Linked DNA regions of Drosophila melanogaster. The gene in region 2 interacts genetically with the main gene of each other region. Each region holds a gene or a part of one and is shown on either strand. Other genes may lie near its edges.

Region 1 (10,025 bases), on a different chromosome or scaffold from region 2:
GAAAAAGGAGAGATTAAAAAAGTTTACAAGGCTATGTACAAATTTGATAAGTTTATGGTAAGCAAAACTTATGACCTATATGAGCTGTTTCAGTCATTAGATGCAAATACAATTTCTAGAAAATTATGTTTACACATGTGCACTAGTAGGCAGTTTGTGAACTTTAAATAATTACATTTTTTCGAATCGAGAAAGTTGCGCTGTGCAATTGCTGTTGGGTGGTCATCAGATGAGAGAGATTGCAAGGGGAAAATCGCGAAATGAAGCAATGCAAAGAAAAGACGGCGAATGGCGGCGACAACATTACGGCGACAAGTACAAAACACGTATTATGCATGTGTGCGTGAGTTGGAGATTCGCATGATTCGTGCAAATTCGCCGCATAGTTGTTCCTGCTGTTTTATTCGCATTCGCATATCGTGATGCCTTTTGTTTGTACATGTGTATCTGTATCTGCATCTGTGTGTGTTTGTTGGCCTGGGTGTGCTGTATTTGTGAGTTGGGGTCGTCGTCGTTCATATGTTTGCCTTGTTGTTGCTGCCTGACGTTGTTTGGTCGGTTTTGATTCGGTGTTTTGGGACGGATGATATTATATGGTCGCTGGTCTCTGTCGCTGCCTTTGCCCGGTTTTCCGTCCATCGTTCGGTTCTCTCGCCCGTCATCACTCTTCTTGTTGAGCTCGTCGGTCATTTTGATTGGGTACAGTGGTACGTCAAAAGCCTGAACGGAACCTTACCAAAATCTTAACTACAGATTACCGAGTGATTATCCATCTGTTAACAGCAACACATTTAATATTTTAATAATTTCACAATACTTTTATTAAATTTATAATTTAATTCTGTAAAAACTAATATCCATATATTACCACCTATTTTACTTGCAGTCCGAGAAAAGAAAGCTTTACTATTGTTTCCCAATGATTTCTAACATACCCCCCACCAACCCAGCTGGTGTTCTTCAAATTTTCACGTCACATAAGTTATTTTTTCGCCTTTTACTTAAATTTTTTCGGCGAAGCCGAACGAAAACAAGAACAACTGTAAGCAATGAGTGGTGGAACTGCCCACTCGCCCCAACTTTAGCATTATTCGCATATTAACGAGTGGGGGAGGGAAGAATACGACGAGAGGCGAGGTGTAAAGGGAGAAAACAGGCGTGTGACGTTTTTTCGCTGCTTTTTCTTCTTCTTCGCCGAAAAGAGTTGATTGAAATTATTTCGCTGGCGTTTGTGTTTGTGACTTTTCGCTCAATTCGTTTATATGTCTGTGTTGCGTGTCTCGCTGAGTGTGTGTATCTGTTTTCGGTTAAAGATACATAATTATTTCTAAAAAGCATTTTCTGCCTGGCCATTGTTGTAAATCGCTCGCACTTTCACGACTCCGTTTGGAGAGGAGTACTTACATTAACAATTTACTTGAAAATAGTATTACTCACCATTTTTAAATTATTTTTTTGCTGCTAATCCATTTGACTTTATCTTGTTTATTATCGCAGGTTCTCACAATTTACAGTTCATTTGTACGGTTCACGTTGCTCTCTTTAGTTTTTTTTCTCCCGTTTTCTTTTGTTTTTCGGTTTGGTTTTTGGTCACGCAATCATTTTGGACGCAAGTTATCGATAGTTAAGCGCAACGAAATGACAGATGACGGCGAATGAAAGGGCAACAAGAAGCACAACAACAATGCTAATTCAAGTGTAGATACACATGCGAAATAATAATTGTAGCACAATTGCCGTTGCAAGAAGAAGACGCAATGGCAAAAACTACAAAAGCGCAACGGTTGCAATTGTGACTGTTGCTTCTTCTTCTCGCGGCCCGATTCCATCTCACTTACTCACTAACTCACACAAACGCGCGGTAATTACAATTAAAAGTAGTTTTTTACAGCCGAAAAGAAACAAAGAAATCGATAGATATTGCTGGAAATGAGGGGAAAAATCTCTGCGCCTTGGTAATTGCACCAGTAAAAAAAAGAAAAAAGACGAAGATGGAATGGAATGGAAAAAAATTGTTACAGCCGCCGAGTGGAAGAAGAAGAGATGCACAACAGACGACGCGACGCGTCGAGAGCGGCGACAAGCGCATGAATTTTACGCTCTCTCATCAATTGCGCGTCGTAGCGGCGGTGTGTGTGTAAGAGCAGACCAGCATATCAGAGAAAGAGTGGCCCGGCTAGAAAAACGTGTGTCCAAGCACTGCCAACTGTGAGTGTGTGCACCGAATGAGAAGAGAGCGAGTGGAGCGAGGAAGATGGAGGCAGACAGATGAGTTGACACAGCGACCGAAGCAGAGCAAAAACCAATCAAAGAGGAAGAGCCGCAAATGGGGATACCGTTGCATATGTGCACTGTATCTATGTGAGTGCTACTTTAGACTATCAATATAGAAATATTGATGACAGCTACAGTGCAGCTTGGACCAAGAACACCAAATTTGTTATAAAAAGAAAAAGATTGCACTCGAGTTGTTGGTTGTTTTGCAGCACAGATTAAATTTGTAGAAAAAACGAGGAGAAATTTTATCTGCAACAGAATCGTCTTCTCAAACCTGCGGATGTTTTGCTAGATTTTCGAGTAGTTTTCCTGTTTATTTCTTAAATTAAAATCGAGCCATTGAAATAAACCTAATCGAAAAATAAGACAATTAATTTGGGAATATGATTTGCACTTCGGTTTGTCCCATCGCAATAATAACAAACTGTGAAAAGAGCAACGAGAACGTCGACTGCGACGTTGGCAGAGCAACTGTAGCAATGGCCATTATGGTAGATGGATAAATGCGCCACGGGGCGTGAGTGAGGGTGGGGAGAGATTGTCTCCTGCACAGGTGCAAAATGTGCGGCGCTGCATCACCCGAATAATGTTGGCAACACTGCAGCGAAACGGGGCACAAATACATACACAAAATGTATGCTACAAGCGTTACGAGAAAAAAAGTCCTAGCTATAACCACCAACAGTTTTAATTTTTTTTGAGTAAAAAGCGGGAGTAAAGAATATGGCGAATAGAAGTTGGAGAAAGAAATCAAATGAGCAGGCAATAATCAACGTGATAATTACACTCAAACATGATGAAGACGAAAACGCAAGCGAGCATCGCACACATACACAAACTTCCCGATGATGACCATTTTTAATTGTATTAGACGGTCGCCGCTCACATTTTCGGATTTGATTTTCGATGTTCTTCGGCAATTTTGCCATTAATTATTCGCACACACACATACACGAACACAGGCGCATAGAGAAATGCACTTGGAACTGCGGGGGAAAAAACAATTGAAATTCGACGGCTGCTACTTTTCAGCTTTTCTTCGTAGTCTCGCGAAATATATTTCTTTTGCTTTGCCGTTTTTCTTTTCGTCTCGTCGCTTGTCTTCTTGCTCTTTTTGCTTTCTCTGTCTTACTCTCCACTCTCCTCTTTGCACATTTTTTCTTTTCAAGTGACTCGGTTTCGACCACTTTTCAAATGCTAATTTTGCTTAAAATACGCTCAACTCCGATCAGATTTGGTGCTTTTCCAGATGCCGGCACCCTGGCAAGCGTTTTAAAGCAATTTTTCTTAATTACTTTGCACTTTAAATTACCGTTTAACGCAAAATTCTAGCAGCAAATTTCAAGACAACGCGACACACACATCAAAGACCTCCATTTTGTTTTGTTGTTGTACGCTAGAGCTGGGACGAAAATCAATGTTGCCAGAAGTCCCGGATACCCGCCAATCGATGGTTCTTCTTTTTATGCCATCGATATATTATTTTAAATATCGCTACTGACATCACTAATGTACAAATGACAACAAACGGAAATATTATTTAACAAACAACTTAAAATTTAACGATAATTAGCATAGTCAATCGGGTATAGTTAGACATGTAGCTGCTGAAGTAAAACTGTCGACCTTTTCCTGGACCCAAACCACGTGCAGCCTAGACCCAAAACCATTACGTTACGTTAGCCGGCTTTCGTCGTAAAATCAAAACTAGCCAACTTATTAAAAAAGCTGATGTATTTTAGTTAAAGGCTACGCCACTTTAAGTCGTTTAATAGCGTGCTCAGTTCCGTCTTTGACTTCAAATGCATCCGCTTTTCCAATTTGCGGTTTTAGACCCTTCATTTCGTCTTCGGTGCTTTTCTCGTCCTCAGAGCTATCCGAGTATATTATGGGACCGTTTCCTTTGAGAAACATGATGGTTTTTCCCAGACGACGCGCCTCAGCCTTCAGGAAAAGTTCCCGGCAGTGCCCGTCCACAGCATTTTTCCCTTGGTCCTCTGATAGGCCGAAGATAAAGGCCCTTTAAAATGTTAGTACCAATTAGACTTCATCTTAAAGGTAATCTAGTTAGCTATATCTTACAAATTAGCAACGTCGTAAGGTCCTCTCAGCTGGAATTCGTGCGCCGCACCACTGCTGAAGATAACGTTCTTGGACTTCCCTTTGGTGCAATAGTTCTGGGCGATCTTTATCATGTCCTTCCTGTTATTCGAATCGCAGATAGATGGAGCGTATTTAATTTCGAAGAACATGCCCCGACGGACTGCCACCTGGTATGCTTTTCGGTTTACCAAGAGTCGGGACCCAGCCACAGGATCAAAAGTTATCAAGTCCCCATTGAAGGCAGTGCAGCAGTGCTTAGATGGTCCGTGTTAAATGATGATTTGAAGGTGGTACTTATAGTGACTTACCGTCAGGGCGGCATCTGTTTTCGGTTGGCCAGCGATGAGATTGAACTTCCGCAGATTATGGGAGACACTCTACAGCAACAAATACAAATTAACTTGCTATTATCCATCATCAAGTGTTCCTACCATCGCGTGGGCCACATTGACGTCTACGTAGAGAATGGTGATTCTCTGCAGGATTCTCAGCTTGTCCTGGAACTCCTTGCGCAGATGCTCGATCTTATGAGGCTCGGGAAACATCTCGGACCCACGTTTGCCCGGATCCTTTTTGCTGTGGTCGAAACTCTGGTCGATGGCCACTGTTTTGTAGCCCGCTGCAACGAGTATGTCGGATGTCGTGGGAATCTTCTGTATGGTCATTTGTTCTCACTCACTTTCCACCAGCTCGTTAAGCAGGGCCCGCAACACGGAGTCGTCCTTGTTGTATGGTATGCTGAAATCGTAAAATGGCCTTGTTTGCTCCATTTTAGGCTTTGTTTTGATTTTCGTTGCCCACAGCGTGCAACCGGTGTTTAGAGTGGCCAGCTTTCGCCAGATAATTGAAACACATTTTAGGGCACAAATAACACGGTCACACTAACAGTTTTTTTTTTTTACATAGGAAACTTTAAAAGTATAAATGCACAAATAGAATGGGTTCGCATAAATTGGCCAATTCAACCGGTTTGGGGTTTGCTTATGAAAGAAACCCGCCATGGAATCAAAAGTTTGAATGAAAACAATCAATGCGGTTTTTAAAACAAGCTTTTTTTTATTCGCAGTCATAGAAACAAAAACAAGAAGGGTGTTTCCTAAAGTACAGGTTTAAGGTCAAAGCGGCTCCTGCGCATCCGTTGGGGCTATCGTCAGGTCATCGTCTGAAGTTCTCGTCACCTTCTGGTGGTCCTGCGGGGCGATGTGCTCCTCAAAAAGCTTGGCCCTGGCTCGGCGGGATTTGATGAAGATCCCGTGACCAGGACAATCGCGATCGTTGTTGTAGCACCTGTCCTTGCAGCACACGCGGCACAGCTGGAACTCGCACTTGGATCCCTGGGGATTGGCGCATTCCGAGCAGTATTCCAGGCGCCTCTCGTGCCGATGCTGGATCTGGGCCTCCGTTTTGTTGGGTCTTCGCTGGCGTCTTCGAAGTTTCTTCATCCGTTTGCGGGAGATCTCCTTGCCGTCCTTGTCGAAGTACTGCCGCTTGGTTCGGTTGGGATCCTCAGCCTCGCGCACCTTTTCGGCAATCTTCTGGCGATGGGATTCGGGTGAGGCGCGTATATATGGTTGACACAGCCAGGGAGAAAGTGGCAGCTTTATTGGGGAATATAAAATATTCGTGTTATTTCAGATCCACTCTATTACAAAGATCCGTTCGAGCAACTTACATCTTCCTCTGATCCAGCAGCCATTTGTTCGGGCTCGTATGGCACCTCGCCCTTGTGGAACGGCTCGTATTTTGCCCGTACTTGTTGCACGACGGCTTGGAATTGCACGAGCTGATTTGCAGTGGCTAGGTATTGCCGTAACTCAGAGTTCTGCCGGATATTCATGCTACGAAATAGAGAATTGATTTTGAAAAATCGGTTTAGGTTCGGTAGTGTAGAGACTTACATGTGATGGAAGAGCTTGAAGAGATGTCCTCGTATAAAGGAACTCGGGCACGGATGGAGCTGAACGAGCTCCAAGTACTCATGGGCCATTTGCCAGACGGGCGGTGAGACTCCTTTAAAGATGGCCGGATTGTGCAGATTACCCTCGGCGCTCATTACACCATCGACTCCTGTTTCAGTCAGACAACGATGAACGTCGTCCAGGGCCAGGATGTTTCCGTTGGCAAGCATTGGAATCTTGATGTGCTGGCGCACATTCTTAATGTAGTTCCAATTAGCCACCCCGGTCAGCGGACCCTTCTGCTCTCTGGTCCTACCGTGGACAGTCAGAAGCTGGCAGCCGGCCGCCTCCAGCATCTTGGCATACCTAATGGTCTTCTCAAGGTCCTCGAAGATGCGAATCTTGCAAGTTACAGGAACGGCTAGTTTTGCGTGCAGTGTGCTCACTAGGATAATATAGCAGTTGCAATCACTAGTTCCATAAACAATCAAAGTAGCCTGTGCTACTCACCAATCTCTGTCAGCAGCTCCCACTCATCCTGCAGGAAGGATCCGTAGTGACCTCTCTTGGCAATGGCCTGGGGACAACCCAAATTTATGTCCACCGCGTCGCAGTGGTCCTGCGCCAGGAGTGCTGCATCCAGGATTTGTTGAGCATCGTTGCCACAGAACTGGATGATCAATGGCCTGTCCTCGGGACACGTCTGCAAGGCATCCTTGCGATACTTGGGGTCTGTGGCGAAGAGGTTCGCATGGTACATTGGCGAGTAGCAGAGTTCGGCGCCATAGCGTCGGCACAGCATTCGCCAGGCCAGCTCGCTTTGATCCACCATGGGAGCCACTACATAACGCGGGGATCCCAAGGAGGAGCGGTAGAAGTTGTATCCGGTGGGCTTGCTAGGTCTTTGGTGCGCGGCGTCTTCATCGTTCACCATGGCAAATTCAAATGAAATCTAAAAAAAAAGATTGGATTGATACGCCTATTGGCAAAAGTTGAAAATATTCCATGCGACAGTGATTATCGGCACCTTTCCCCAAGCCCAAATGACATTAGTCATCCCGCTAACGGGTTGACAAATACCCGCAATGCAGTCTAATATTGTGGCTCATTCTTTACCGGACAGCAGAGGGCTGGATTTCCCAAGGCACCTACGCATTTTCACAACTAGCTAATTAGCGCCACATTAGCGGCGAAAGGGAGCGGCCGAGCGAGCGACTGGGAAAAGCCACGCACAGTTGGGCAAAGCCAAACAAATTTGCATTGAGCTCACACAGGATGAAAACAGAAACGCGGAGCTAAGGGTCGCTGAAAGCCTACTCTATATTTTGTATAATTAGGATAGAATGTCATTTTTTAGATCTTGATAGAATAGGATTAATGCATGCCTTTTGCTCGAACCATCTGATTTCGTCCCGATTACTCTTGAAGACTCGTTTTTTGCATTAATTTTGTAATTTCACTTTTGTTGCATCTGCAACTGCAATTGCAACGTCTAATGTCTAGTGCTTGCTCGAGTTTGCTCCAATTAAATTTCTTCAACGACTACACCGGGTTTTCTTTAATACCTTCTCGTTTCGCTTTCGTTTTTGGGGCTTGGCCCAGGCATAGAAGCGTGAAAATTGCGCTCTAAGTCAATGCACATCAACAAAAGCAACAATTACGAGAAAAGCCGAACACCAACTACTGCCACAACATACAACAATGCGCACACTAATTGAGTTATTCAAGTTGTGCATGCAACTCAAAACTGAAAAGTTCAAACCCTTCTTTCCACCGGTTTATCGAAATTATCGGACTGCGTTGCACTGCATAAGGGGACACACGTAAGTTTAAAATGGTTTAATTGAAAGCATGAGGTCGAAAGGCTATGAATTCCCATTAAGTTAAAATACAACATTTAAGGTAACAACTATTAAAATTTTACCCTTATCAAGGCTGGTAACAAATGTTACCAAAAGTAACCATATGTATAATCACTAGTTCGTGTCCATATTATCCGGCAGTCTATTGGTGACGAAACGCACCTGCTTCTCAGCACATCCAAAAACAAGGTATCTCTGCTATCGCTTGCACAATAAGTTGCACAACTTGGCTCGATTCGAATTTTACTTTGCAGAATCGTAGACAAACGCAGTGAAAAAGAAAAAGTTTTCACATTGAAAGTTTACTGACCGGAAATGGCGTGCAATTTTATCAATGGCGAAGGCCGATTGTCATCTATATAGTAATCTTCTGCCTGCTTGCCAGGACTTTTCAGACTTTCCCTGTTGCTCAGGTTTTTTCGCTGACAATGCGCGGAGCCATTTCAAGGCAATGTCTGTAAGTAATTAAAGTTTAAATGGGCGGGAAACTTTCCGGCCCCCGAAAGTAAATTGCATAATAAGTGAACCGAAATAAAGTGCAGGCCCCAAAAAAAGGGGCGTGGCTGCCGTTTCGCTGCCAGCTGTTGGCTTCGTTATAATTATGCCCAAATTACAACGAAGTTACCAAATGAGGCGCCCATGGGGTCCTCCAGAAGCAGGAAGGGATCGGGCAGCCGCGGCTCTGGGCACTTGCAATTAAGAACTTTTCCAAAAGCGGAGGGGGAGATCAAGCCCAACTGCAGCATGAATCGGCAGAATGTACAAGTGATTTATAAGTTGCAAAGAAAATACATATTCCTTCAATAATTTGCTAGAAAAGGTTTCATTTGATCTATCATATATACATTTCCTATTTCTAAAGAAATATATTCTCTAAGTGATACAAAATGATAAGCGATAGTGGTCTTGGATGAACTTCTCCTGCAGTAGGTGCCAAAATATCTGGCCATCCCGTCCCCATTACCCTACTTCTATTCCAAGCCCAGCGGAGTAAATTACATAATTCGCAGTCCAGGCCCACAAATTCGGGCGGTTAGCCGCAGGGTGGCCAAAGTGTGCAATTGCGGAGACCGCAGACAGTTGGACTTTGTTTCGCATCTGCCGGATTCGGGAGCGACTAATTGAATCAGCCGCACACTGGCAATCGCTGTTCAAAGCTTTCGATTTCTGCGGCGCCCGGCCAAAGATAATTAATAATTTCCGCACCAATTAAGGCGGTCCAAGACCAAGAGCAGTTTCGGCTTTCACTGGATACCCCAGAACCAGGTGCGGGTTCACCCGACCATAGCTACCATCAACCTTCGGACACGCCTCCGAAGCCGCACATCGCATGCGGTGGAAATCAGCCAGGCCCCGGATCCTGCTTTGCCAATTTTCAAAGTGGCCCTACCAACGAATTCGTAGTGGGCGCAGTGGGTAATGTATTTATTTACTTCTAACCTTGCTACGCGTTGGTCAGGTGCCCTTTAAAATGCAAAACTGTAAAATCGTGTCACGAATCAAAACTCCAAATCGAAAATCCACTTTCGGTACTCTGAGATGGCAGATAAAGATGAAATATCAACCGGCCCAGGAGAAATGTGCCGATGCTCCCAGTTGCCCCTGCACTCACAACCTCCAATGCCACCCATGAGAAAACCATGACACCCAATCGAGCGGTGAGGGCCACTCCAGTTCCAGACTGCGAGCGAAGAAAACTCGATAAGAAATTGGCGTAGCACAAAAAAAATGTGAATTAACTCGCTTGCCATTCAACGAGGCGTTAAATCCTTTCGAGCAACAAAAATGGTTTAGAATGGATAAGAAGGGGAGTGACCTGCTGAGTTCGCCATTTCAACTTTGCCATCATCTCCGTCTAATTCTTCTCTGTGGTTCTGTTTTTGCG
Region 2 (11,296 bases):
ATCTAACGAATGAGGCTGCGGGGGGGTGCTGCAGCAGTGGTTCCACCGGAATGATAATATCCCGGATGCACTGCACTGACTTTTTTGGACCCCCCGGGGCCTTCAGATCTTTTCAGAGCTTCTGGTTGTTGTGCTCTTATCGTATTGTAGTTGTTTTTTACAAGGATTTGCCTTAAAATAATACTATCAAAAATAGTACCATAGTTAAATGTTACGTTTTATGTATAAATATATAACATTTGTATATATTTGATATAAATATATATGGTAGGTATATTGACGTATGGTGCATACGAAAACATATGCATTGCAAAGAACGTGAATATTATCCCGTTGCCGGAATAATAATATGTATCTAAAAATATATTTATATGCTATATATAAGGTATATATATATTTAAATAGACATTGAATCAAAGCTTTGATTACGCGTTTCGTGTGTTTTGTTTTTTGTTTGTTTGTTGTCGTTTCTGTTCTGGTTGCTTGTTGTTTAGTGTTTTGTTAAACAAAACAAAAGGTGAAACTATTTAAATAACTATTTTATGGGATTGCTGGCGGGAAAGTGGGTGTGTGTGTGTAGTGTGGGTGTTTGTGTGTTTCAACAGATTTTGATTTCAGTGTGTTCAAACAATAACAGTTTAGTTAACAATTAAAAAAAGGCACAAGTTGCAATTGCGCAAAAGGCCAAAAACACTGGCGTTTCACACAGTTTCACATAATTGGCACATGCTCCTCTCTTGTGTTTCATGTTTCTTTGTTTGTTGTTATGTCTGGGGTTTCTTTCTGTTCTTCTGGTTGTTTGTTTGCTGCCCTTGCGTTTGAGGTATTTGTCATCTTTGGAAAGTCTGTTGAAGGCAACCAAGTTGTTGTTGATGTTGTTCTGGTTGTTGTTGTTGTTTGTTGGTTGGTCCGGTCTGGTGGTGGTCGCATATAAATGGCAGGATGGTAGCATTATATATGCCTCGACTTGAACGTCACGTCTACTTTTCTCATCGCTCCTTCTCACTCTATTAACAACACATCTTTTTTTTTACACACGCTTCGTCAGTTTTATGTTTAAATGCTACTCAACTAATAATTGGTAATTAAATGTTTCGTTTAAATGAATTCTCGTTTAAAAGGTACGCTTTAAAATTTTAAACATCAATTATATGCCTTTAAAATTATACGTAGGTTTATATTTAATAAGATAGATATAAATGTGTATATAAAAATTGCGATTTTGCTTGTTATTATTAAATGATGAAAATTGTCTGTCAAAATACACATTTTTTTCAATATAAAATGAACGATTAGATTAAAATTTATATGTTAGCATTAAAGAAATGTTTCTTGTTTTCTCTCTTTCAAATCTACAATTTTTAAAAGTTTTCTTGTTTTTAGCGACGTTGCTTTCGTAGTTGTTCTTGTTCTTGTTGTTGTTTTTGATGTTGTTGTTCATTGACATCATATACCAACATGATTTATATGCAAATATGCATATAGACAATGCATGCGGTATATAAGCATATATAAATATATATATATATATATATATGGTACTATATATCGAAATGCAGCTAAACTTTTTGTTTTTGTTTTTCTCTCAGTTTTGTTTGAATGGGAAACACAACAACGTGGAAATTTTGGATCAGATCAGGTCTATGGCAAAAATTAGAAGGTTTTTATATTCTGCGGTTGTTGTTGTTTGCTTTGTTTGATTATTTCTTTCTGATTTTGTTGCTGGCCAGGCCAGCTCTATGCGGCTGAGGCTCTACTTAGAACTGCTGATAGTTGTTGCTATTGTTCTTGTTTTGATGGTAATTACTCGACGTGTTGTTATTGTAATAATTGTTTTGAGCACTACTTTGTTGTTTGTTGTATTTACCATAACCGTAGTCATATCCATTATAGTAGCCGCCGGCATAGTAGTCGCCATAACCACCGGCACCATATCCGCCGTAGCCGCCGCCATAGCCGCCGTATGATCCCTGTCCGTCCCACTGGTTGTTGTAGCCTATGGGATGGTGTGAAATATATAGTTTAGAGCCGGTTTCCATAAGAAGCAAAAATGCACTGCTTCGTTAGCGGCTGTACTAACCACCTCGTCCTCCGTAGCCACCGCGTCCGCCGCGCATACCACCGCGTGGTCCACCACGCATACCGCCCATCATCTGGTTCTCCGGCTTGGGCGTCGCACGCTTAACATCGACCTCCTTGCCGGCGATCTTCTGCTTGGGCGTCTTCAGCAAATCTGTCACCACCTGCTCCGAATCGAAGGTGATGAAGCAGAATCCTTTGCGCTGCGACTTTTGCTTGTCGAATGGCATCTCCACCTCGACGATCTTTAAACAAAAAGAATTTAAGTAAATCATTATTGGCAAATTCCAAAAGGTCTACCGCTTTAGGGTTACTTACATTGCCGAACTGTCCAAAGTAGGTCTTAATCTCCTCATCGCTGATCTCTGTGGTGAGGCCGCCGACAAAGATCTTGCCGTGCCTGGCCTTGGCCTTCTTGGGATCGACCTTCTTGCTGTTGATTATGTGCTCATCCGCGGCGCTGACTTTGTCAATGGCCTCGGTGTTTGTAAACACGATGAAGGCGAATCCTCGGGACCGACCGGTCTGGGGATCTGTCTTGACATTGATGCTCTCGATCTCGCCATATTTGCCGAAGTGATCGCGGAGTTCCTCTGAAATAATAGAAAAGCAACTTGTTAGCATTTGTTTATTTACTTCGTTTTAGTTTTATACTTACTCTCAGTCGTTTCCCAGCTCAGACCACCGACAAACAGTTTCCTGCGAAAGTTTAAAGATTAATTGGTTAGATTGATGGTATCTTAAAACATTTCAATATAGATTTAGGGAAATATTTTGGTAGGAAAAGGTTTATCTGGGAAAATCAGGCACGAAAAATAGGTTGTGTTTGATGCGCGAGGCAAATACTTTCTTAATTTACTTTAAATTTTTTCTTCTCTTACTGATTTTCGTATTGGCTGCAAAAGAATTTGATGACTGGGCAAGAATACAAAACGAATAAAAAAAACTCACCAAATTTGAAGTGAAAAATTGCTTTAGTTACTGTATTGCAATCAAAGAATTGATCGGATAGTGTCAAAATACTTGCAAACTCGGAATGAGCGAAAGAGTTCGAGGAGCGAGCGAGCGATCGATCGAGAGACACAAAACGAGCGAAAGATATAGATATATAGTATATATAAGATATGCAAGAGTGAATTATTAAGTTTTTGTTTTGGGTATGCTTAAGAGTCTTTGTCTGTACAAATAACAATTAACAATTAGTCTTTATTCAATAGGATGAGAGAAAAGAATGCAAAGGTTTTTATGCTGGATTGTGGTTAGTTTTACTTTCTTTATTTGGCTGTTTATTTTATTTTATATTTTTTTTTTTTTATAAAAAGGAATGTTGAAAAAATATGCAGACACTTATAGTTTACTATGATGTGTACGTTACTCATTGATTTCTGGACTTTTTGGAAAGATATCTCATCGTTCTCGGCGGATTCCCGGCAAATTTGGAACAGTCTCATCACACGGCGGCGGAATTTCGATTGCAATTTAGTGATTTGTGCTTCTTTTTTGTGGCAATTCGTTACGTTACATTCGTTCATTGTGTTTCTTTCTTCGGGCGATATATAATGTATAGTTTTTGAGCTTCATAAAACAAAACGAAAAAACTGCGAGTCTCTTTTTCACTCGGTCTCTCTCTGTCTCCGATTACTTGGTACTTTTTTGTTTTTCTTTTTTTTTTAGGTAATTTACAAGTTATACGTTAAGAGATACAATACAATATATACTCGTATACAGTTTACATATGGATCCAATTTTAAATCGAGATTATTTCTTGATAATTTTGTGTGTTGATAGTTCTATATATTGGCTGACTGACTGATTGTTTGTTTGTTTTAGTTTTGGATAGATAAATACCATCAGCATCAGTATCGGCGGAGCGGAGACTTTTGGAGACTGGAGTGTGGAGAGGGTTGCATATCCTCCAAGTATAAGTCCGCCGAATCCGAATCCGAATCCGTAACCGTTTGCCGGGGGCAGGAATACGAATCCAAATCCATATCCGAATCCATATCCGTCTTGAGCATAGCTTAAAACCCTGACCTGGGGCATTTCACTTCTCTCAAAACCTGCCGGAGAGGAACAAGGTTAGTTCGCTCACAAGACAACAGGATAAGCTATGATTTTCGATTTAATTTCTCCATTTCGTCCTTCTTCCTTTACGGGGAATAATCTGCATCTGCTTCGTCAGCGCTGGTTTCGTATTATCGTTTAAATGTACAGTATCGTGTGACTTAAGATTAAACTTAGATATAAAATGATCATAAAGGATGGGCAAATGAAGTGTACGCTAGACCTAAAAACCAAAACGCAGGGGAGCAAACAAGAGGACCATTCTACTTGATCATCATTATCTCTATGCTTTAATCCATCAAAATTATTTATCATTTATAATTTACATTAATTGTTCGTTAAATTAATATTTTGGCGCCTTGGCAACTCCAAACAACGCCGGCTGTCGCTCTCTGAGAGTAAGAGCGCGCAAAAGAGGTGGCGAGCGAGCGAAGCCGGCAAGCAAGAGAATAAGTGAAAACTGCAAAACACGCACACACCTACAGAACAGCGGGCGTTAGGTTGGTATGTATGCCTGTATGCAGCCGCCATTTTGGGTACAAAACTGGAAGAGCACAAAATAACAACGAAATAGCCGAAACAAAGAGTAATGCGAATTAAAAAGAATACACTGACAAATACAAACATAACTTTTTCCAACGTTTTTTTTCGCCACATTTTTTGCAAGTGAAAGGCAACCGTATGATTTGTGTTCGTATGCGTCACAGTGTGTCTGTGGGGCAACGTGGGAAACAAACATAACCTCACAAAGGGGAGAAAATGTGCTCCTAGCTTAAGAAAACTCTGGTTTTCATTGCGGAAAGTGCGTGTGTGTGCAGGGGAAAACGTTGAAAATTTTCCATGTCTCCCGAGACTGTGATGATGCATTTTGGCCCGAAGATTCTATTAATATGACTGAAGTACAGTCGCACCGACACCTCACACACACACACTTAAACACACTCCGACGCACGAGCGCAAGCGAGAGAGAACACAAAAGGGGTCAGACTTCCCCCGCAGAACCCCGTAAAATCCAATGAAACTCGACCAACGACGTTAGCTTTGCATTTACGTAACAGAGTAGGCAATATACACTATGTAGAAGCAGAAAATCTATGGGGGGCACATGATCATCGGTTGCCCGTTGCAAAAATAAAAAAGAACAAAAAAAAAACGTATCCGCCGGATAATGGACATACCTGTCGTCGTCCCGCTGGCCGGATGCGGCCGATTGGTTGTCCGAACTGCCGTTGGTCGAGCCGGCGGCGCCCGCATCACCATTTTCAGATCCCGGACCGTCGGCAGTCACGTCCTTGGTGAAATCCTCGCCGTTTATTTCTGTATCCACTTGCTTGTTCTCGGCCATTTTGTGTGTTTTCGACTGATCTACTAATTTCGGGGGCTAGGCAGCACGATATTCGTTTTTTACGCAGAGCCGGAGATTTTTATACACACTCGCCAAAAAGTCGCGCGTACGAATGAAATGACGACCGGAAAATGATAAATGCAAACGACAGCGTGTGTATATGGGTGCGGCGTTGCCACCTTGATGTTTTCCCAGTCAAGTCGATTTGGTATTATTTTGGTAAATATTTGTATTGTATTTGCTTGCTCTACCTGGAGATTGTTAGCTATACATTTGCCAAGGATTAAATTGGGATTTTCTGTACGATACCACCCCAAATAAGCCTATATAAGGAGCTAAATGGGCGCGTGACTTGTCTGCTTGCAGTATGGCAGCTTTGATTTATACAATGTACACACACCTATGAAGAGAAAATGAAAAGAATACCAAAAATTTTATACAAATATTTTAAAGCCCAGTTTACACAATGGACAAGTTACTTGGTTTATAAATTCATTTTAGTTGTATTAAAGGTTTAAATATTTAAATAAATATTAAGTATTTCATAAACATTTATAATTTTATAAATATAAAAAATACAATGTTCATTATTTACTATGTGTTGGGAACGAAAACAACATTTACATACAAAGAATTGTTTAAAATCGAATTTTCATATTAACTTCTTATAGGCTGAAACATCAACAATATTTTAAATCATTTAATTGGTTTATATTAAATATTTTTATTTTTTGCAAAAATTTATACAATTTTCATATTCGGATTTCCCAACAGGTTATAATATAACGTTATTATGGTTTTTATTTATTTGCTATATAAAATGTTTCCTTTAAAGAAAGGTGTTTCATGAGCTTACTCAAAAAATCGGAAATGGCTAAAATGAAAATAAGTTTTATAAAACTATTTAAAAGAAACTTAGCGCCCCTAAAATGAGCTTAATTGAGCTCAAATATGAAAATATCAAATTCATCAAAATATTCTATGGAACATACTAGATTAACCACCCCAAAAAAAGAAGTGTGTGCACACCCTTGGAAAAGCCGCCATCATTCACACACCAACACACGCGAAACCAAGAATAAAACTGTGCAGAGGCAAAAAAGAGGAAAAGAGGAACGAACGTCGGTTCTCTTCTCGATTCAACACACTTGTCCAATTTCATTGCGTTTGCGATTATTTTCTACTCAAAAGCCACAACATATGCATCGTAACTTAATTCAACAACAACTGTGATCGCCAAACATCAGAAAGCAACAAAAAATACACGTCAAGAATTGCCAAGTTAGTTATTCTCAAAAAAAAAGACAAAAAGAATTGCAACAAACTAGACTAGTGTGTGTGTGTGAGCGAGTGAGTGCATTGGTGTGTGTGGCTGTGTGTTTTGTGTGCAGCTTGCAATTTTATACTGCATTTCATACGTTTCGACTATCGTTTTGTAAATTAAAAAAACCGCATAATTTCAGCGCTCCACTAAGAAATCCAACTCTCCCCGCCCCCCGCAGGAAGATAACAAAGAAAAGTGCTACAAAAAGTGCCGATTTTTCGGCAAACTTCAACCCAAAAGCAATACACACTGTGCATTACAAAAAGGAAAAATAAAAACGAGGAAAAATATCGCTTAAAAAAGGTGAGCCGGCGACGGCCTCGTGTGCGCGGTCTAGAAAAACTAGCATTTTCCATTTTCAAAGGGGTGGCGCATACTAGGAAAAAATCAACATAAAAAATGCTAAATGGGCGTATATTTTATTATTGCGGCAGGGCTCTATCTCTTAAATTTTTTTTTTTACCATTTTAGCGGCTTTTTTTATTATCGCTTGTGCATAACCTAAAAATGTACGAAAAATTTTGTTTTTGTACATTTTTGTTTAAATGCTGCTCTTCAACTATAGCTTTCTTTGTTCTTCCTACACACGCGGTTCGCAAGCAGAAATAGAGTGGGAAAGAGAGAACCCGAAAGAGCGGCGCGTTCATAACCGAATATGTGTGCGTGTGGGTTTGCCGCAACTCATTGTGCATTTTTTGTTTTATCGGCAAATGTTTATGGCTAAAATGGGGCAAAGGACACCTGCAAACATTGATATTTACTTACACCTTTTAACGCTATTTCAAGTGTTTTTGCAAGGCAGCAATTTGATATTTTGGCCAAGCTGGAGTTCATTGTATGCGGCGCCACAACCTTGAGACCCGAACATAACCTCAATTTAATTCATGCTCCTCGCTTGGCGGCTTCTTTTTTTTCTTTGCCAAATTGTATGAGGTCATTTACTCGCGCACACACACACACGTGCAAAGTTCAGTCAGCCAGGATCGCAGGCATAAAAGCTGGAGCACGTGCAGGGTTAAATGTCCTGCGACGGCAAGCAAATTGGAATTTTTCCTGACAGCTGCACTACACCAAATTTCCCCTTTTCGCATGTGCAAATGTGTGTGGGCCCCAAAAGTGGGTCAAACTGCAGCGCGCTGCGTCTGTTTTATATGCACTGCGGTAAAATGAGCTCCCTGTTTTGGGTGTACAAACCTCCCCCCCTCCCCGCCGTCCTTGTGACCAAGCGAAACTCTAGATCCTTATTGGAGAGCACAGCAGGGGTCAACACTTTGGTAGTCAGTCACATTTCTCTAGAAATTTATGTAAAAGAAGCACAGATTGATTTAATGGACAGTCTGAAAATCCAATTAAATTTGTTTCTTATATTTGCGTGTTTTACCGTTATCAAGCCTTAATTCTCCAAATTAAATTTACACGTGATGAAATTAACTGATAACACAACTAGTGATTCATTATGGTTTCTATACTTTTACCGGCACAGGTATGAATAAGCCATCTTTGAACACCTTTTGGAGATTGTAAGAAACAGGGTAGCAGCTTCCTTTAATTTCAAATTATCAGATTGAAAAATCTACACAGTCGTCTAGGACTTTTGCCAACTTTTCTTTTTTTTTATTAAAAAAACCAGACAGATTTTCATAGTGCGCGTATATTTTTTGCACTATTTCGCAGACGTTCCCACACTCTCAATCGACACAGATCAGCCACCGTGTCGATAGATCCGAGCAGCAGCTAGAAAGAAGGGAAGCAGAAATTGGAAGCGGAGACAAAGAATCCGAGTCGAAGAGTCCGTAGTTCAGAGAGGAAGAATCAAACGCCAGCTATGGTCATGGATGCGACCCAATCGCAGCAGCCTTCGCCGCAATCTGTGGGACGCGAGTTTGTCCGCCAGTACTACACGCTGTTGAACAAGGCGCCCAACCACTTGCATCGCTTCTATAACCACAACTCGTCGTACATCCATGGAGAGTCCAAGCTGGTGGTCGGTCAGCGGGAGATCCACAACCGAATCCAGCAGCTGAACTTCAACGATTGCCACGCGAAGATCAGCCAGGTTGATGCCCAGGCCACTTTGGGCAACGGTGTGGTGGTTCAGGTCACCGGGGAGCTATCCAATGATGGCCAGCCGATGCGGCGTTTTACCCAGACGTTCGTTCTGGCCGCTCAGTCGCCGAAGAAGTACTACGTGCACAACGACATCTTCCGCTATCAGGATCTCTACATCGAGGACGAGCAGGATGGCGAGTCGCGATCGGAGAACGATGAGGAGCACGATGTGCAGGTCGTCGGTGGCACTGTGGATCAAGCTGTGCAGGTGGCCGGCGATGTAGTTGCCCAGCAGCCGCAGCAACAGCAGGCTCCTCCGCAGCCACAGGCTCAGGTCGTGGTGCCCCAGCAGGTAGCTCCTGTAGCGGCCGGTGGTGCTGCCCCACAGCAGATCTTCTACCCATTGCCAGCGGGTGCTGCCGCCGGACGTCCTGTGGCTGTTTTGCCACCAGCTCCGCAAGCCGCTGCTGTTCCACTGCCCGCGCAGTTCACCGTTCCGCCGCCACAGCCCATCCAGAACGGTGTGGTGTCGCACGAGGAGCTGCAGCAGCAGCAGGTGCTGGTCCCACCCAGCGTGTCTCCCCTGGTACAGCAGCAGCAGCCGACCGGCACGCCTGTGTTGCCCATTGTTCCAGTGCCAAGCGCGGGCTTCCAACAGTCGCCACTGGTGGCACCACAGCTCATCCAGCAGCAGCAGCAGCAGCAACCGGCACAGCTGCCCCCGCAGCAGCAGCAGCAGCAGCAACCTATCCAGCAGCAGCAGCCTTTGCAACAGCAGCAACAACCGCTGGCTGAGCCCGAGGAAGTGGAGGTGGCGCCAAGGCAGCAGAAGCCTCCCACGCCCGTCGAGGATTTCAAGACCATTCACGAGCAGCAGCAGCAGGAGAAGTACGAGGCCGCCAAGCAGCAGCAGAATGAGCCCAAGACGTACGCGAATCTCTTCAAGTCCACGTCCTCCTCGCCCAGCGGCTTTGTGAACGCCGCACTGCAGCAGCAGCAACAGCTCCAGCAGCAACAGCAGCAGCAGCAGTCCATCAGCAGCAACACCTATAACTCTTCCTCGGCAACCTCGGGTGGCGGTAATGGCAGTCAGGTTAGCTACTCCACCACCGCTTCGTCGTACAACAACAGCAACGGCAACTCGCGACTGGACAACGGTGGCCCGCTGCCGCAGCGAAACAACTCGATCCGCAACAACAAGGGTGGTAAGTTCATCGTTCCACCCTTAAATTAAAAGGGGTCATTCCCCTCTATTCGGCTTCAGGGTAAAAAGACTAAAAGATGTAGTGCAAACTTTTGGATCTCATGTAGAAATGAAAACAGTGGTTTCTAAGAATTACTTTTTTAGTCCCCTTATAATTTATTATGATTGGCTTACGTTCAGATTTTTAGAAAGGTAATGATTCATTTTGTTGGTTTACTTTCTTATCAACTTAAGGTTGGCTTATATGATAAGCAAAATTGGGTACCGCTTTTTAGAAACTCTTCCTAATAACTTGCTGTTTATACTTTACAGACTTTGAGCAGCGTCGCTCGAGCAACACGCAGCAGTTCGGTGATAATCAGCAGCTGTTTTTGGGCAATATACCGCACCACGCCAGCGAGGATGATCTGCGCGAGATCTTCTCACGCTTCGGAAATGTCCTGGAGCTGCGCATTTTGTCCAAGGCTGGCAACAAGGTGCCACCAGGCATGCGCAGTCCGCTGAACTACGGATTCATTACCTACGACGATCCTGAGGCGGTGCAAAAGTGCCTGGCGAACTGCGTAAGTTAAGCAGAAAGTAGATTTAATTATTGGAATTGCTAAGGTATCTCTTTTATCTCCTTACTTTTACTGTGATCAGAAAGGTTATCTAAACATATTCTTTCCATTTCATAGCCCCTATACTTCCCGGAGAACTCACCCGATGGCCAGAAGTTGAATGTGGAGGAGAAGAAGCCGCGTGTCCGCAACGACATGGTGCCGCGCCAGCAGATCGGTGGCAACAACCTGAACAACAACATGGGCCGTTTGGGCGGCAACAATGGTCCGCAGTCGCGTCCGATGGGCAACAACAATGGCAGCGGCGGTGGCATGATGCGCAACAATGCCGGTGGCAACAATCTGCGCCAGGGCGGCGGCGGAGGAAACGGTGCTCCTCGCCTGGGAGGCGGCGGTGGATTCGGACAGCGCCAGGATAACCGCACCGGTGGCGGCAACAACCAGTCTAACGGACCGCTGCGCGGTGCCGGAAATGGACAGAGTGGTGGTGGCAACTACGGACGTCGCTAAGGGAATTGTCCAGCAGCACGACATCAGCAAAAGCATCAACAAATGAGCAACGGCAGCAGTAGCGACTATAACATCAAGAACAGCAGCAACAACCCAACGTTAAAAACATCGACTTCTTCCACAATGCAATCAATCAATTACATTCAAGAACATCTCATGCA
Region 3 (11,021 bases), on a different chromosome or scaffold from region 2:
ACACGCTCAGACAGAGAGAAGAGCGCGGAGGGGCAGAGGAAAAAAGCAAAGGCAAACGAATTAAAGTCAAAGTCAAAAAATATGCCACGAAAAAAGTAGCAGCAGCAGCAACAAAAAATACACATAGAACCCCCTACAAGCCCCCGTTATTCACCATCCCATTCCTTTTTCTTTATTCTTCTTCTTTCCCTTCTAGTTTTCTTTTCTATTTTTCTTTTTTGGTTTTATAAGGGAAGGGAGGGGGTTTTTTTCTCAGTGGAGATGATAGTTTATACGGCGGACTCGTTAGTTGCTTCGTTTCGTTTCCGTTTTCCGACGGATAATACCCGTGTATCTAAGTATCCGTGGCGCGCAAAACGTGAAATGACAAAAAAAATGGTACGGCGGTCACAAAATATTAAAGTAAAGTGTAGCACAGAGAAAAAATTGATTCAAGGCTGCTGGTTTTGGTTTTGCTTTAGCTGCTGCTGCTGCTGCTTCTTCTCTTCTGGTTTAATTTTTTGGGGCTTTTCGTTTGGCTATTTTTTCTCTTGTTTTTCATTATTTGTTGGCTTTGTACAATTTCTTTCTGTCTGCTTTTTATTTGATTTTAATTCTTTTTTTCTTGTGATTATTTGGGGCAGCCCGCGAGTCGCGACGCTACGTTGCTTACAGTTAGGAGCGTTTTCAGACACTAAACTGCCGACCGAGCGCACGGACGCTGTTTTACTCGAAAATTACATTTTTTCTCCGCTGCCGAAATTCCTAAACACAGATACAAAACACACGCACACACCAATGCGAAACTCACACACACAAATGCACGCACACACAAGGGCATGGCAATGGAGAGGAGAAGTAAAAGCAAAAGGCAAAGGCAAAACACCAAGAAACCGCGTGCACTTGTATGTGTGTGTGCGTTACGGATTGCCGAAAATTTTCGGCGAGTGTTTTCTGAGTCGAGTGACTGTGGGTAAGTGAGTAGGTGAGCGAGTGAGTGCGAGTGCGAGCGAGGTGGCGTGTGTGGAGTGTTGAGTGGCTCCAATGTCTTCTTCTTGCTGCCATCGCTCTTCGGAAATTGATAAAAGCAGTAATTAAAGCTAACAATGAGACGGATGAAATCTAAAATGGTGGTTTAGTTCACTTGGGTTATCAGAAAAGCTCCGCCATTCGCAGATCCTAAGATATTATAGCTCAGTTATAGTATCTATGCATTAATTCTTAATAGAAATTTATCACGGTAATGATTATAAAGCAGAAAATTCTTTAGTGATTATTATTTAAAATCACATTATTATTTAAAATATAAGTTACTAGTTATATTATTCATACCGTACAATAGAATATTATTCAGTTCTAGAAAAGGTAGGATCTTCTGAAATATTAATTAAACAAGATGCACTCCTACATTGAAAGCCAATTAGAAATAGGACTTCTTTACACAAACGTACTTTAGAAATATTTTAAAAGATTTTAAGAGTAACTTTCACTTAAACTTCGTTGAATTGGAATTAAATATTTAAGAGATAGAATTTAAAGACTAATACGGGTTAAAAGGGCTGTGGTCACAGATCACAGTATTTTGGCATTTAAATTTAGAAAACGGGACCAATAGAATTCGCAGAGTCTATAACATAAAGGCTCTTTGAGAAATTTTTAAAACAAGCTCTTCATTTTGTTTGTCCTAAGGATTATGTTTGTCGTTAGAATATTAAAACAGGTTCTAGTATTTGCTTGAATATTAATAAAATCAAATAATCTGCATAAATGTAAGATTTCGCTGAAGTTTCTCTTAGGAAAAGAAAATAATACTTGCGAAAGTAGTCTAAATTTTCTATAGGATATAGGATATGCGTGAGTGAAAGATGCCTTGCATGGATCCTGGATTCTGGATGTTCCAGCTATGGAAGTTGGACTGTATGAGGAATTCCTGTCGGCACACTCTCCTCTCAAAGAAAAACTCACTCGAAAAAGCGGCTCAGAAAAGACGCGCGTGTGTTGCCCTCGCTCCAGTCCCCCCTGCCCACTCTTCCTACCTTGCTCCACCGCCCAAAAGTAACTGAACTTAAAGGAGCGCGTGCGAGAGAGATGCACAACGCACTGCTCTCGCTCGCTCTTTTTTAAACCGCTGCCGGCGTCGACGTCAACGCGGACTGCGCCGCTGGCGTTGCCAAAAAACGAGACACACATGAATACACACACACAAACACGTATAAACTTACGAGGTGTCCATGTGTGTGTGTGCGTGTGTGTGTGTGCACGCGTGTGTGTGTGAGTGTGGCGATGACGACGGCGCTTAAGCTCTGGAAACTGAAAACCGAAAAGGAAGAAGGAAGCGGCAAAAGGAAGTGAACTGCGAGCACACAATAGCTGCTCTGTATACCGGCGTTCTTGTTGCTGCTGCTGCTTTTTTCCTTTTTTTCTTTTCTTTTCTAAGAAAAAAAAAGCAACGCAAAAAGCAGCCGAAAAATTGAAAAACGAAATGCGAGCGTTAACCAAAGGGGAAGGAGGATGGGGGGGGGGGGGGAAAGAGGTGGTTAGGATAGTGGAATGGGGGGATTGTGTTAGATGTGGAAGGACACTAAAAGCGAGTTTCACATAGAATCCTAGTTGAGGGGAGAGGAAGATGGCTTAGGGGCAAGGCTAATACAATGTCCTTGGTCGACAAGTTCAAGTCCAAAGCTGCGATTAGCAGTGAAAAGTTTAGACCAAGCGGCAAAACTTTCTAGCCAAGGACCTTCCGAACAGTCACGTTCTCTGCATTCAGCCCTAAAAAAATTCAACATAAAAAGGTATTCCATTTATCACTGTTGCAATCAGTAAAACAATTGGCTTACAATTTGTTTAAATTACATTCAGTAATCTTACACATTAAACATTCTAAAATAAACAAAAAATTCACCTTTTTTTCTGAGCTGAGAAGAAATAAAGCATTAAAATCGACTACTTTGATAAGTCAGATTTATGACATACATTTTTTATAACCAATAGATTATAATTATTATATATATATTATAATATATTATCTACATATATTTCAATGAGAAAACCTTTTTAATTAAAATAAACATAGCTGTAACCTTCTTTACATATGTATGCATATATAAGGCTATTAAGAAGAATCCTCGTTTTCCTTTCAAGCGCAACTAAAGAGGATATAATCATCACACGTAAAGTGTTGAAATGCCTTTAAAATGCTGCATGCAGCCAGCTTAAATCTCGTTCCGCATCGCTTCTATAGATGCAGTCCAACCCGCCCAGGTCGACGTCGTCTGGTTCTGTCAGCTCACTTGTTGCATGCAACACTGCACTCTGACCTTCTTTAGTTGAACGCCAGCCAGCAAACCACTTCCCCACCCGCCACCACTGCCATCTTAAAGGTCCCTGCACGCGTCGCAATCAAAACAGAAAAGAACAGAATCGCAATCAGAATCGGGAGGGTAGAGGCCGGGAAGGTGGAAAGGGTCCAGGGTTAAAGGAGCAAAAGGATGCAGGATGCAGCGGCAGCAATTGCAGTTGTTGAAGGTGACATTAATTGACGTTTAATAGGCCTCATCTCGCGCCGGAAGGATACAGGGGTGGTCAAGGATGCAAGGATGCAAGGGTGCGGCGGGTAGGCTGTTTGGGTTGGTACATGGTTTAAATTAGTTCTACCCCTTGCCAGCCACTTGAATCCGATTGAATCCTTTCTGAGCACTGAACACCACTTCCTGGCGGCATCCTCCTCCTTTTTCCTTTCCATTCCTTTTTTTTTTTTCAGCCGCGACAAGCCAATTAGAGGTGGCGAAGCTTGTAAAGCTTTTGTGTCCTTTGCCAGCAATTTGCAACAAAAGTGCAACGGCGTCAAGGGTATCGACACAACTCACAGCACAGCACAACACAACCACCATCACCGCCGCCAGCAGCAGCAGCAGCAGCAGCAGCAGCAACATCGGCCATAAACAAGCTAGCTCTCTCGAGGGGTGGCGACTCCTGCGGTTGCAACATCATCCTGCCAAAGGTTATAACCCCCGTGGTGGGCGGGCTTGACCTCCACCTCTATCCCCCTCCTCCCCCTTGCATAACCCTTTTTTTGCAACCGGCGGCAAATGGCGAACGCCTGTTGCAGTTGCACTTTTTGCTGCTCCATTTTACGCTGAACGAATGGAAAATGGCGCGCGCGCAGCAAAGTGCAGCACAGCAACCCCTCGAAAGTATGCAACGCCAGAAGGCCTAACCACCCACTTTCTCACAACCCAACGCTGTCCGCCCCCCCCCCCCTTCCCACACATGCATGCTAAATGAGTGCAAGAGACAGAGAGAGAGAGAGAGAGAGAAAGAGAAGGAGTGCTAGTATGAGGGAGGGGGGAGGAAGAACCTTAGTCCTGCGAATAAAATCGTCGAAAGCTATGTGAATGCGTCCGTTTGAGTCCGTCCACTTAGCCTCTGGGTGGGTGTTTGGGGTTTTCGGGTGGTGCTCGGTGGTTCAGTGGCTCAGTGGTTGATTACAATTCTACCGACTGCAATGGCGAACGCAGTCAAATGTGATTGAGATGCACACGAACCGGAAGGATGCATGCAAAAAAGGGTTCGTGCAGGATTCTTGGGAAAGTGATTTCATTTCCTTGTGGCTTCCGTTTCATTGAATAGCACTAGTAGTGGCTCTTAGATAAGAACTTATATGAAAAGTTAACTTAGGTTAATGATGACCATCATTCTTAATCATAGTGGATAGCTTTGAAATTGAAAATGATTGGTGAAAATGAAAAGAAAACTTTAATCAATGGCAAACCATATGACTATGTACTATATCACAATAGATTTATATTTATACGGCGATATCCTGACTCTGCCGCACACAGTCGACTGCCACCGACGAACAGGACATAAAACAATCGAATGAGGAATGCCGTGCGAAGGGGGATGGGGTTCGAGGAGCTCGTTTGGCTACAGGACACCTTTTAAGGACTAGATAAGGAGTGCCCAAGGGAGGAGCAGACGGATGAGCGGCAGCCAGGCAGCGAGGAGCAGGCAACAGCTGCGAAAGCTGCCCGTCTGCCTACCTAAGCTTTCTTAGAGAGCTGCCTCAAGGACAAACCGCGTCAAAGGAGCGCGCTAACGAGGTACAGTTGCCTCAAATAGAACGAGATAGACGATCGACGGATACTGAGTGCGAGTGCAGATTGATGGCTATCTGAGAATACTCCAACTTTCCAACTTACGCTGCTAGTGGTGGACTAACATCCCCAAAAGTAAGATGCATGTAGCCCTTACATAAGACTGAAGTGAGCACCCTTTTTTTTTATTTAATACTGGGGGTGGTTGGTATCTTAAGATAAAAGGCAGCTTTGTAAGGAATGAAATCTATTCAAACCGAAGCATTAGAACTTACAAAAGCAATAAGGGTTAACTCGCGATTAAAACGAGAGTTTTACTATCAAAAGAATGTAGAATTTAAGCGATGTAATAGGCAAAATTAAGTGTATGGGGACTTAGGAAACATGTTTGGTATATCCTTAAGAATATCCTTAAGCTACGAACCATTGCGCCTTTTACAACTTGGCATCTAAACGATATGAACCACCCTCTCCCAATTGCGAAACGCTAAGGAATTTGACCAAACTGGCACCTATTTCTTTGTCAGTCTGCTTCTAATTCTGGCCCCACCGACATATTGCTATCTCTATCGCTGCAATTCCCAATTTCTTTGGATATACATATATCACTCTCTCTTTTTCAGCGGCTGTTGAACTTTAAAATTGATCCGATTTTATTCGCATCTTCCATGAATTTCGCCTCACTTGAGAATGTATTAAATTTAGAAGCAGACGAGCCAGATTAGAATGAGGAAGAGAAGAAGAAGAAGACGAGCAGGGGGCCAACAAAAAGCGTTGGGGGGGCGGGGGGGCGGTGGTTGTTGGTCTGAAAGGCGGGACAGACGCTTCATTCATGCCACGCGCATCTTGCGCTGTCGACATTTAAAATAGACGCCAAACACGCAACCTCGGCGTTCAACTACAGAGAAGCCTCCGCAATCATTGCCGCTTACATTCTGAACAATTTATAATCGCACTTGTGGAGCATTCCCTGTACTTTGTACAATGTTGCAATGGAGTTGGCATAAAGAAAACTTGGGAATTTATCATCGGATATATGAATGAAAGACACAGACACAGGAACTGTGGCGGAGTGCTAGCTAAGTTATTGGTTTTTAATTGATCTTGGTTGCTTAGAAGAATCTCGACTATTGTAGAGAAGAGATCTTAAATAGGAATAGTATAGGAATAATATCCTCATTCTATCCTCTTATCAATATCAATATAATCAATATATTGAGTTCGTTACGGAACTATAGCAAGGTAACATTTTTCGAGGACCCGTTTCAATATCCTGACAGAAAAGGATACTTACACTTTCAATGGGACGCAAGTGCACTGCTTATTCTCGAGATTTGGATAGGATGTCTGTTGAAATTGCTTGAGATAAAGGTGCCTGATTCTTGCTCCAGAGATCTCAGTCCTTTGCAGGCTCTTGATTCAATTAAGTTGCCAATTGTGTGGGTTCAACATCAAGATTTCAGGCTTTAGAATTGGAAAGTGAGGTCGGTGAATTTTTCTCGAGAGGATCGATATTCTCTGGGCTACAATATTCCAATTGATCGGAATTCTCCAGATTATAAATATCTCTACCTAGTACGTAGTTTAAACAAAATTGTCTGGTCTTTCGCCTTTCCTTTGGCCTTTCTTAGATTCCTTTTTTTTTGGCTTTAATATGGGTGTGTTGCCTGTTGTTTTCCGGTGTCTTGTCTTGTTATGGACTGTGTGAGTGTATATTTTTGATTTTGGGTAAATTTTTGATTTTTTTTTTATATTGAGCGAGAAAAAATTTGAAACTGAATAGTGGGAAAAGTGAAATTTGTATGGGGCTTTTAGACATTTGCGATTGACAGCAAAGCCAATGGTGTGTGTGATTTGGGATATTCAATAATGGGTTATATTTGCAATACTACAATACTTTCTACATAACCTATTACCGTCCATAGCCTAAAGCATTAAAAGAAAATTATAGTTAATCCCTAAGAAATCTAGTTTTTATGCAATCTATAGCTAGTTTTCAAATGCCATAAGAATTACTTGGAATCAAAATCTAGCATCCTTAATGAGTTCGCAATTGATTTTTCCATTGATTGATTTAGACAGGAAGTAACATTTTCTTTTTGGGCTTGTTTTCGCTGTCGTTGTGGATTTTATTTTATTGGGTTTCGTTATTGATTTTTGTGTAGGTGACAACTCTGTGTGTGGGTTGCCGTGGGTGGGCGTTGGATTGTGTGGGTGCGAGCGAGACGGCAGCAGATGCGTGAGTGAGTGCGTACAAAGCAAGGCTGGAAAAACACTCCCTCCTATTCCCACTCCCTTACTCTCTCTCTCCCTCACCTTCTCTCTCTATGGCTTGGTTGGTATCTCCTTTCTCTTTCTTACACTTACACTTTGGTGTATTTGGTAAACCTCAAGAATTCTCGTCGAATTTTTGTTTGTTATTTTATGATGATTTTTCACTTTTCTTTGCGCTTTTCCTTTGGCTTTTCACTGGTTTTTATCTTTTTTTTTCTTTTTTTTTGTGCTTTGTCACTTTTTGCTCATACAAGAAAAAACAACAAAAATCACAAATGGCGGCGCCGTTTGAATCCGTATCCGTATCTGAATCTGAATCTGAATCTGAATCCAAAACACTAATATCTCGATAGCTGTTCGGCGTGAGCTATTGACTATTAACTATTTAACTGCGAACTGTGAGCTGAGAGTCGAGAGTCGAACGAACTGACGCAACGGCGACGAGTGAACTGCCTGCCTGCCGGATATACGGATCCCAATTTCCAAGGTGTCTGCTCAGCGCCCGATGAAAATGCGAGGAAAACTCTGTTCAGCTCTGCTCTGCTCTCAGGACCTCTGCCGCGGCGCTGTAGCAGCGGCGTTGGCGTTGGCGTCGCATTTTCCCACCCATCCAAAACAGTGAAAGTTGTAAACCAAAATGGCTGACCCTGCTCCTTGGCATATTTGTATCTGTATCTGTGTCTGTACTCGTATCTGTATCTGTGTGCAAGCGTCTATACACATTATCCGCTTTAAAGGGCAGCAGCCGGCTTACACCACACTCACTCTAAAAAGTCGGCGACCACTATAAATGATCTAAGGTTAAGAAATCGAATAAGCTAACTATTAATTTATGCCAGTATACATTGCCAAATGTATTATTAAGTTACTATAGGTAATCAAAATATATTTAACATACATTTTAGGCCTTGCTTAGATACGTTACATATTTATATAGCTAACTTCTAATTTCATTTCTATTCCGATTTAATGATCGATGATTTCTGTTGATCTGTTCTATTTCATCTGGTGATCACTGTGCCAGCTGTTGGACCTGTACTTTGCACTGCTGGTCGCCCTATGCAAAAGGTTTTCCCGACCCAAAAAGGAAAAACATCGAAAAACGCAACGGATAAACGAATATTTTCCATCTGATTGGCTTGGACCGGCTAGCTGTTGGCAGCGCTGTCGACGCTGACGCTGACGTTGACGTCGACGCAGCTGCGACGGGGGTGAGTGTGAAATGTGAAAAGCGAAAACTCATAGTACCAAGCGGAAAACTCGGGGAAAAACTCTGAAAACAAGGGTGGCCCGAGCAGAGACGCCAGCGTTTTTCCCGCTCTCTCTTCGCTCATCGCTCTTCTCTCCACTTTTCTCTCTTCTCCGCTCCTCTTCGCTCTCCTTTGCGCCCTTTTATCGCCCCGTCTGTTTTGTCTACTGGCTCGTGAAAATGTCAGGAAAATTCAAACTGCCACAGCTGCTTGACAAAAGGCAAGACTATAATTTTAAGACATGAGGAAAACAAGAGAACGGAAAATGTCTTTCGGGGAAATTGTGAATTCGATTCCACTCACGATTGCCACTTGTGAGCCAAGTTATTGGCATTTGTAAATTGCGATTATGCATAGATATCAATAAAGCTATTATTTTGGCTTATAATAGAATTATATAAATTATTTTCTTTTCCCAATCCCATTGTTTAGATTGCATATATTAATTGTGGCACTTTTCGACTCCAGAAAGTATGCAATGCATTTTACGACTTGCGTTGCGGCTTCTTTGTTACTATGGCCTTTATAATCATAAGTTTGTTTTCGAACGACGAGTTAGAGAGTGTAGTATTCAATTGTTATGATAGTGTTATGAAAGATACATTTCTATAAACAGTACTTGATACCTCAACGGGATTTTCCAACTAGATTGGACGCAATGAGGTTAACACGAGGGAAGTGAGCTGCGAATAGCGATTCCGGGGACTTGGAAAAGTCTGCAGCTCACAATCGTGTTTCGATCTAAGACTGTGCCTTCTCCATCTCTGTTTCCCTCACTCCTGCCATCTCCCTCTCTCGCTGACCTTGCTGCCAACGAAATTTCTACTTCCTGCTCTCCTACATTTTCCCGTTCCTCTTTTTTGTCGATGCTTCCTTCCTTCGTTCAGCTAAATCTGATGCGCACCCCAGAGCAGCAACAAACATAAAATATATATAAGTATGTACATATATATCCGACTGTTACCAACCCAACTCAGCCCACACACACACACACACACACACACAGAGAGTCTACACCCATACCATATCGCACGCACACACTAAGCGATTGCGTCCCGTTTTCGAATTTCGAGCGAAACTTGCGTAGTTTTTCAACCCCAAAATACGGGACAAGGACAAGGTCGAGGATGTGGCCCTACGCCCCTGGACATGGGTGCACAATGGCAGTGGTTCCAGGCCCATGCCCATGCACTTTCCATCCAAGATCTCAATGCTGAGCTGCAACTTTAAGCTTAAACTAGAAGATTACGGAGTGCAGAAGTAAGGCGAACGAACTGTTAAGTTCTTTAACTTCAAGCCATATTTGTTAAGATACAACAATCATTTAGATAGATCTTTCAAGGATATACATCTTTCTACCTCTGACTATCTATATTAGCATATACTTAGGGATCTATTTTGTAGTACCATTGTATAGATATAGCTCTGATGGCAGACTTGAAGAATTCTTTCAATGCATTGATGGAATACTTTAGTTGTCCCGTACATTTCTAGGAGGCTGTTGAACCCCTGAAAATCTCATAATTTGCTTGCCACCACCACCATCGCTGTTGCTGAATGTGCGCTGTGTGGTTGCGATGCGTTGCTGCGTTCCTGCGTCTGTCAGGAATGTTTACAGCCGGCTGGCTGTGAGTTCTGAACTCTCAGTCTGGGCTCTAGCCCTAGCCTAGTCCAAAAAAAAGGGACGAGGATACGAGCTGGGAGGGTTTAACGCTAATGGTAAAGGGAAAGGCGCAGGGAAAGGGAATGGAAATGGGAAAGGAAGAGCCACCACCCACCCCCAGCGGCAACTGCGACGCATTTTTGTGTGTGCGTCCTGTGCGTTGCCATGCTGCGATTTTCCATTTCGATTTGGGATGGTTGGGATCGCATTGGCTTGGATTCTATGGTATTTAGTGCACAGTAAATGAAAATGGTCGAGTGTCGCGACTATTAGATACCTTCTAAGCAGGAAATGAAGCGATTTTGAGATGGGGCTAAACAAGCAGATCATCATTCTCTTTTTTAATACTTTTCGAATGTTTCTAAGAAACCCAATTTTCATTTGTAATATAATCACAAACATCATTTAAAATTACATTCAATTATTTTCGCGAGTGCGTTGGCACGGGAATGGTTTGGCATGGAAGGGGTTGGGGGAGAGAACGTTCCAGTCCGCTGTCTTCCAGCTTTTGGGTGGTGGTGTCCCGTTACGCGCTTGCCACTCTTGCCATCTCTGTTGCACCCACGCCACACGTCGAGGATCGAATTTGGCTGCGTTCCGTTGACTTCGCCCCTTGCTTTATTTACTTTTTTATTATTATTATTTCATTAGATTGCAACCCTTGTGTGTCTCTCTATTCTGGCATCACCCCCCCCCCCCCCCTTCCACCCCTCTCCACACATTGTCCCGTCGTGGGACAAGGACGAACGCCAGTGGAAG

Evidence for each region.
Region 1: of sqd (region 2) and Rpp30, changing one suppresses a phenotype caused by changing the other (phenotypic suppression), as found in Drosophila melanogaster (one study listed by BioGRID).
Region 3: of sqd (region 2) and Imp, changing one enhances a phenotype caused by changing the other (phenotypic enhancement), as found in Drosophila melanogaster (one study listed by BioGRID).

What each region holds. Positions count from the first base shown.
Region 1 is NT_033779.5:247,168-257,192, forward strand, and holds Rpp30 (RNaseP protein p30), read right to left. Parts: upstream 5,207-10,025; 5' UTR 5,151-5,206; coding exon 5,060-5,150; intron 5,000-5,059; coding exon 4,812-4,999; intron 4,758-4,811; coding exon 4,689-4,757; intron 4,635-4,688; coding exon 4,360-4,634; intron 4,298-4,359; coding exon 4,027-4,297; 3' UTR 3,872-4,026; downstream 1-3,871. Other genes in the region: Dus1 (dihydrouridine synthase 1), read right to left, coding at 5,496-5,978, 6,053-6,218, 6,279-6,723, 6,789-7,212.
Region 2 is NT_033777.3:13,640,432-13,651,727, forward strand, and holds the start of sqd (squid), read right to left. Parts: upstream 5,874-11,296; 5' UTR 5,489-5,873; coding exon 5,322-5,488; intron 4,140-5,321; exon of another isoform or gene 3,928-4,139; intron 2,779-3,927; coding exon 2,738-2,778; intron 2,673-2,737; coding exon 2,398-2,672; intron 2,325-2,397; coding exon 2,081-2,324; intron 1,997-2,080; coding exon 1,868-1,996; coding exon of another isoform or gene 1,758-1,867; exon of another isoform or gene 1-1,757. Other genes in the region: rin (rasputin), read left to right, coding at 8,638-10,066, 10,378-10,628, 10,743-11,135. UniProt on the Drosophila melanogaster protein: Component of ribonucleosomes. Could be needed to organize a concentration gradient of a dorsalizing morphogen (Dm) originating in the germinal vesicle. At least one of the isoforms is essential in somatic tissues.
Region 3 is NC_004354.4:10,814,950-10,825,970, forward strand, and holds the start of Imp (IGF-II mRNA-binding protein), read right to left. Parts: upstream 9,329-11,021; 5' UTR 9,226-9,328; intron 7,838-9,225; exon of another isoform or gene 7,443-7,837; intron 6,869-7,442; exon of another isoform or gene 6,370-6,868; intron 687-6,369; exon of another isoform or gene 653-686; intron 1-652.